Linked DNA regions of Drosophila melanogaster. The protein of the gene in region 1 interacts with the protein of each later gene in a pairwise test. Each region holds a gene or a part of one and is shown on either strand. Other genes may lie near its edges. The genes, in order: CG9577 and mRRF1.

The links.
Region 2: the proteins of CG9577 (region 1) and mRRF1 interact in a two-hybrid assay, tested with the Drosophila melanogaster proteins (one large-scale study listed by BioGRID).

What each region holds. Positions count from the first base shown.
Region 1 is NC_004354.4:20,165,065-20,168,900, reverse strand, and holds CG9577 (uncharacterized protein), read right to left. Parts: upstream 2,229-3,836; 5' UTR 2,137-2,228; coding exon 2,085-2,136; intron 1,945-2,084; coding exon 1,782-1,944; intron 1,711-1,781; coding exon 1,086-1,710; intron 1,020-1,085; coding exon 921-1,019; 3' UTR 821-920; downstream 1-820. Other genes in the region: CG9581 (uncharacterized protein), read left to right, coding at 1-750.
Region 2 is NT_037436.4:9,362,578-9,365,979, reverse strand, and holds mRRF1 (mitochondrial ribosome recycling factor 1), read right to left. Parts: upstream 1,631-3,402; 5' UTR 1,564-1,630; coding exon 799-1,563; 3' UTR 740-798; downstream 1-739. Other genes in the region: Klp67A (Kinesin-like protein at 67A), read left to right, coding at 1-643, 1,788-2,607, 2,754-2,885, 2,946-3,052; CG34456 (uncharacterized protein), read right to left, coding at 3,311-3,402.

The DNA.
Region 1 (3,836 bases):
CCAGGTCAGTCGGAGCACCATCTGTTCGCCGCGATTGACTACAAGTGCCGCATGCGCAACGCCAGCTACCTGGCCTACCCGCCGGTGGTGGCTGCCGGTAAAAACGCCACGGTGATCCACTACGTGGCCAACAGCCAGTTGTTGGGTCAGCAGGATCTCGTGCTGATGGACGCCGGCTGCGAGTATGGCGGCTACACCAGCGACATCACACGCACCTGGCCGGCGAGTGGGGTTTTCACGGAGCCGCAGCGCACACTGTACGACATGCTGCACCAGCTGCAGGAGGAGATTATTGGCAACGTGATGAAGCCGGGCGGCGAGACGCTCGACCAGCTGTTCGAGACCACCTGCTACAAGCTGGGCAAGTACTTGCAGGAGATCGGGCTGGTGGGCAAGTCGTTCAGCGAGTACAAGGAACTGGTCAGCCAGGGCTACCGCTTCTGTCCGCACCACGTCTCCCACTACCTTGGGATGGACGTGCACGACACACCGCACGTGCCACGCAACACACGCATCGTGCCCGGCATGGTCTTCACCGTTGAGCCGGGCATCTACATTGGCCAGGATTGCGGCGACGTGCCGCCCGAGTTCCGGGGCATCGGCATCCGCATCGAAGACGATCTGCTCATCAACGAGAACGGCCACGTGGAAGTTCTAACTGAGGCGTGCGTCAAGGATCCACGCGCCCTGCAGGAGCTTTGCAAACAGCAACAGAAGAACCCCGGTGCCTCATCCGCGGAGGCGTTTTAAGAGCTCACAACGAAAACCAAATTCCTAGTCATAAGCCTTTCATTCTCCCGACAACCTTATGAGCTGATTTGGGTCCTAAAGTAAAGGCAGATGCTGTATTTATAAATGCACACATGGCAAATACATTTTAAATTCTGTCAGATTGCAGATTACATATTACAGGTTACCGATCACAGCTTGGCGAACACTGGCTTATCGTCCTTCGTCAACTGGGCGGCCACAGCCTGGGCGAAGTCCTCCGACAGCAGGTTGAGCTTGTTCAGCAGGAGCTGCAAGGTGTGAGGCGTGAGGCGTGGTTAGCTCGTGCAAATTCGTTGAGATATTAGGATACCCACAATGTGATCCAAGCCCTCTTGATTGGTGTGCTCCAGGGAGTACACGAGGCTCTCCTTGGTTGTCTTTACGGCGACGGGACTCTTGCTAGCGATGAGCTCGGCCACGGCCAGGGCTCCGGTCAGCAGGGAATCCTTGTCTGGGAAGAGGCGACTCACCAGGCCCGAGGAGTGGGCCTCGGCGGCCTCGAATTTGCGCCCAGTGAAGCACAGCTCGCGGGCGAGGGACTGACTGCCCACTGCCTTGGGCAGACGCTGCAGGGTGCCCACGTCGGCGGCCATGCCGATGTCCACCTCCTTGACCTGGAAAAAGGCGTCCTCGGTGCAGTAGCGAATGTCGGCGGCGGTAATCAGGTCCACGCCGGCGCCGATGCACGCCTTGTGCACCGCCGTGATGACCGGCTTGGGGCAGTGCTCCAGGCTGCTGATTGAGTCCTGGTACACCTTGATCATTCGCTCCATGGAGACGCCCTTGCGGGCGTAGTCATCGGTCTCGGCCAGCGTTTGGCCCACGTTTATCATGTCGTTGAGGTCGATGCCGGCGGTGAAGTGCTTTCCGGAGGCGGACAAAACGATAGCCCGGCAGTCGGGATTAGTGGCCAGTCCGTCGAAGCACTCCTTGATCTCCCTGGAAATGGGTAACGCAGTTTGGGTTAGCAGTCTGCGGAACAGGAAACGGGAAGCTATTGGATAACCCACAGCCACATCTGCTTGCTTATGGCGTTGAACTTGCTGGGCCGATGGAGCTCCACATGAAAGACGAACGGCTTGGGCGAACTGACGGCCAGCGTCTTGAAAGAGCCGGTGGGTCCGGATTCCGGGAGGGCGGAAAGGTTTCTCTGCATCTTAAGGGATCCGATGGCTGACGGGAAGTGCAATTGATTGGACTTTTAAAACGATGAAGAGACAAAGGTTCAATCACCGGTGTTCGGACTTTGAACCGAACCCAAATTTCGAACGCAGAAGGCTGGATGTCGGATTATCGAAGTCCCCGATACTTACCCGTGGGCTTGGGCGTTAGTTTCATCAGAGTGTTCAGGCGGGAGAGCGACATAATAAACCTTCTTTTCACTGGTTTCAAATCAAATCTACTTGTTGCGGCAGCTAAATTTGTTTTGTTTGCTTAACGATACGTAGCAGTGCTGCCACCCGGCAGAAATATTCAAAATAAGGCGGGCTCTCGGCTTATCAAAGCTACTGGATATATTTCACTAGCAGATTTTCAATGGATTTTTCTGGCTGCATAAGGACACAGTTGTTGCAATAAATGGGTTGTAGGTAAAATCAAGTCGTTGCGGCAGAAATTTGTTCGGCTACTATATCAATACGGTGTTTTGCTGCCACCCGGCTGGAGGATTCTAACTTAAAAAGTTTTGCATCAAATTCGCGTCAATGCGAATGTGTATTATTATTTATTTTTTCGTTGTTTAGAGGAGTATTCCAAAAAATAAAAATGCTAGAATGTTCAGATAAGAATTATCCAACTATATATGTACGACTTAAGTTTATAGGACTCAAGAAAGTATATAAAATGCGCAATCGAAAAATCAGGTTCACCATTCTTTGGAGAATATTTCCACTCGCAGAGCCTGTTCCTAATTGCACGCTAGCCCATCTTAAGGGACATTTCTTGTGCCTTGCTTACCTAAACCGAATTAGGTAATGATCCTGGAAAAATGCAGTGGGAGGAGCTTAAAGCATTTAAAAATGCCGCCTGGAATTCACCTCAAAATACGAAAAAAAATTAATAAGTACATAAAAAACGATGCCATGTTCCATTTTCTTCCGTTCCGACATAGCCGCTAACTCATCGACGCTAACTTGACGCACATAACAAGACGCACATAAAATTGCCATGAACAGATATTATTCTCGAATCTATCGATGTATCGTCCCAGCTTCCATCACTTCTCAAAGTTATCGAAAATTTGAGTTCTGCTTGCCACAATCTAAAAATCAGAAAATCATAAAGGTGCATAGTCTCGAAGCAGAAGCTCACAGGTCAGAGAAGAAATTTTCGGAATAAAAAAATAAATATAACAAGTTTTCAAAAATAACTCCGCACCAAACCCATTTAACCAAATCAAAAGCTTAAAGCAGTGAATAGTGTTATTTTTAAAAATTTAGCACAAATAAAAAGTTCGGGAATTCAACGCTTTTTGGTAAGTTTTCATAATGAAATAGCATTGTGCAATGAATTGTAACACAAATACATATATCTACTTGAAAAGGCATTAATTAGAACCCCTATACACATACTTTGAAAATAAAGGACTGCAACTTTCATTCAATTCGCATTTGCCCCAGGTTACGGCAATTTTCGAGGAAATTCGTAGAAACAGAAATAAAACCGAGAGTTTGACGCTTGCCAACTCTGGCAGTAGGGTTGCCCCTAAGCGTTTTTCCAACTGTTTAATTATTTGTGCAGGACTTTACATTGAATTGGCACACGTGTTTTTTGAGACAGCCACAAAACAAAATCTTCAACTGAAACCCGCCATGTTTTTGTTATGCTAGCCGAATGTATATAAATCAAAGAAGCGTTTCCGACCCCATAAACCTTACAAACTATATATATATATATGTTATACATATATTCTTGATCATTTGCTTAATAATATTCCCGATTTGCTTGTGTGAATCTCAAACTGTTGCCGCCAACTTCTTGGTATTAAGGGACACGTGCTTCACTTGTCAACAGAAGCTAACTGGCAAATTGTGTTCAGATTAGACTCTTAGAAACCCATTAAGAGT
Region 2 (3,402 bases), on another chromosome or scaffold:
ATCCATGATCGATCTGGCGGGCAGTGAGAGGGCGGCCAGTACGAAAGGCATTGGAGTGCGATTCAAGGAAGGCGCCAGCATCAACAAAAGTCTCTTAGCTTTGGGAAATTGCATAAACAAGCTAGCCGACGGCTTAAAGCACATCCCGTACCGCGACTCGAACCTGACACGCATCCTGAAGGACTCGTTGGGCGGAAATTGTCGCACATTGATGGTGGCCAATGTCTCGATGAGCTCACTGACCTATGAAGATACCTACAACACCCTTAAGTACGCTAGCCGAGCTAAGAAGATACGCACGACTCTGAAACAGAATGTCCTCAAGTCCAAGATGCCAACCGAGTTCTATGTGAAGAAGATCGACGAGGTGGTAGCCGAGAACGAGCGACTCAAAGAGCGCAACAAGGCGCTGGAGGCCAAGGCCACTCAGTTGGAGCGCGCCGGCAATAGTGGATTCGATCCGCTGGAGCTTAAGACGTGGTACAGCAAGATAGACGCTGTATATGCGGCCGCCCGGCAGCTTCAGGAGCACGTCCTTGGTATGCGTAGCAAGATCAAGAACATCAACTACCGGCAGACACTGAAAAAAGAACTGGAGGAGTTCAGGAAGCTGATGTGTGTCGACCAGCGAGTGTGCCAGGAGGTGAGTTCGATTTTTCGATTTCAAATGGTACTAAGAGTCCAAATTTGTGCTCATCTAGTGTTTTTCTATTTCTGGAAGTTCATCTCAAGAGTTTTTAAGTTTAAACATTTACATTTATTAAGGCTTTTGGAGCGGAATCAGTCTTGGTCTTAGGCCTAATCGCCCAGCAGCTCCTTCTGCTTGCTGGCCAGCAACTTGTCCGCCTCCGAGATGAAGCGATCCGCGATGGCAGTGACCTGAGCCTGTGCGGCGAAGGCATCATCCTTGCCAAGTTCCGGTTGTTTTTTCAGCTTGCGAATGTGTTCGTTCTGAACGCCTCGTATGGCATCGCGATATTTGACGAACAGAGCTTTGGCATTCTTGGATAGATTTTCCCTGTGCTCCTTGGTGACCTTTGGGATGGGTATGAACAGTGTAGTGCCATCCTGTTGGGGATTAAGGTTCATGCCACTCTTTTCGATGGCTTTGAGGACATCGGGAATCGTTTGCGGGAAGCCAATCATGTTGACTATGATGGTCTTGGGATTCTTGCGAGAGATTTGGGCCAGTTCCTGCAGCTCGTGCTCCTGGCCATCGACTTTGATGCGCAGTGTGTCGATGGCACCGCTGGTGGATCGCAGCGACAGGTGCTTCACAAAATCCTCCTTCATCTGCATCACGGACTTCTGCATCTGGCTATTCAGGCCATCGAAATTGAGGATCTCGCGCAGCTGCTGCTCATTGATTTCCACCTTGCCCGGCTTTCCCTTGCCGCCTTTTTCCTTCTTTTTGTCCTTGCCCTTTGCATAATCGCGCGCCACTTGTAGATATTTCGTGTTTTCTAGATTATTTTGCAGGATTAGAGGTAATTTCGGTGAGGAGCTCGACACTCGCGTCTGGCGCACTCCTAGGGCAGCTAAATGCAGTGCACTTCGCAGCATTTTATTTAAATTTAATCTATTTTGTTTGGATTAAATGCGGAACTGATTTTCAATTGGGCAGCATCAGCTGTTTCTTTCCGATTCGTCGTAACAAACCTCAAACGTAAGGCATGTTAACGTAACGTAACGCTTACGTTGGCGGGTTTATTTGAAAAAAAAAAACTCATTACTTAATTTTAAAATGTATTATTACCATAAATACCCTTTTCTTATAAACTTTTCAGGACTTCCGTCGCTTTGCGAACTACATGAGCACACTGACCAGCCAGATGGAGAAGTACAAGGAGGAGTTGCCCAGCTGGCTGAGTAAAATGGAGATTGCCTACCAGGATCTAGAAAGTCTAAAGCGAGAGGTTAACAAATCAAAGGCCTACCAGATACTCATTGTATACGTTAAGTACAAGGATCTCGAGCTGCAGCTGACCAAGCAGAATATCTTTAACAATCACGTGAACGCAATTAACCAGGAGCTGGTTGAGAACTTGGATCTGATGCGAAAGTCCTTCCGAACAGCCTGCGAAGTGCTCAACCAGACGTACGATCGCCTCGAGGATGGTCAAAAGCTGACGCCGGAAATTGAGGCGGTCTTCGAAAGGTTGCTGCGAAAGATGCGGTTCGCCGATTCCGAGGCCAATACCAAAATGGCCGAGATGAATCCGTTGGCGGTGCCTGTGGCTCTGCGCAGCAGCGCCCAGGAGGAAGAAGAGCCCACATGCAGCCTCACGGCCAGCGCCAAAAAGCGACAAAGGCAAGCGGCTCAGAGCGACGACGATCTGCATTTGAGCATGGAGGACTTTGATAGCCAGGACACCGAATCAGATTCCGAGGAGCTGCACAGGACGTTTAAGAGGCCACGAAATCTAAACGAAACGCAGGTCCTGGGTCCCTGCAGCAGTAGTTCTAGCAGCAGTACTTCTAGCAGCAGTAGCGCAAGGAAGGCACTCACGGCGACGGTGACCAAGCCGCGAACCGTCCAACAGCGACTGGTCAGCGATCTGATATCCGATCAGAATGTGCGCGGTGGCAATGAAAAGATCAAGAAGGGTAAGGTTTTGCTTTCTAAATGTTATGCATTATGTATAAACTATTTCATCGCAGCGAAATTTTTTTGTTAATATGTGGACATGGCTCATAATCATTTATGCATGACGGAAATACTTTATGCTCATTACTTTGGTGTTTAATTGCAGCTCTACTCAAGTCGAATCACTTTACGGCGCAAGGACTTCAGAGAACGTTGGCGGCTGCTTCTCTGGCCAAGGAAAACGTAAAATACAACGCCAACTATGTGCGCAAGAGTCCACGAGCGCTAATGGCCAAAGGTGAGTTCGGCAAACTGTGCCTATTCAATCAGAGATTTTAATGCAATTCTTTACTGACAGCCCTTGCAGGCACCTCGACGCTTGCGAGAAAACCGCTGGGATCGGCCAGTAAGGAGCCGCCTTTGGTCAAATTCAATCGTGCTGCTTCGTTCCGCCTGAAGAAGTAGAAAACATGAACTCATTCAGTTAGTTTCAACTTGTGTTTGCCTTGAAGTAACAACTATTCCGCCAGGACCGAGACAGATTCATGTTCAAATTAACCATAGCTATAACCATATATATAGATAGAACACTAACTCCTCCAAACCCTAAGCTCGTTCGTTTTTTCGTTCTTTTGACCCATTACTTAACCTTGAATTTATTTATGTACTTTTTTTATATTTGTTTTGATAAATTGAAAGAAAGCTTTGCGTTACGCGCTCTAACTAAAAATATACAGCCGTTTCCTTGCCCTCATCCAAATTGTGTCTGTCGTCTCGGTGGTAGAAGCTTTGATCGCACGGCCAGAATTGGGAGT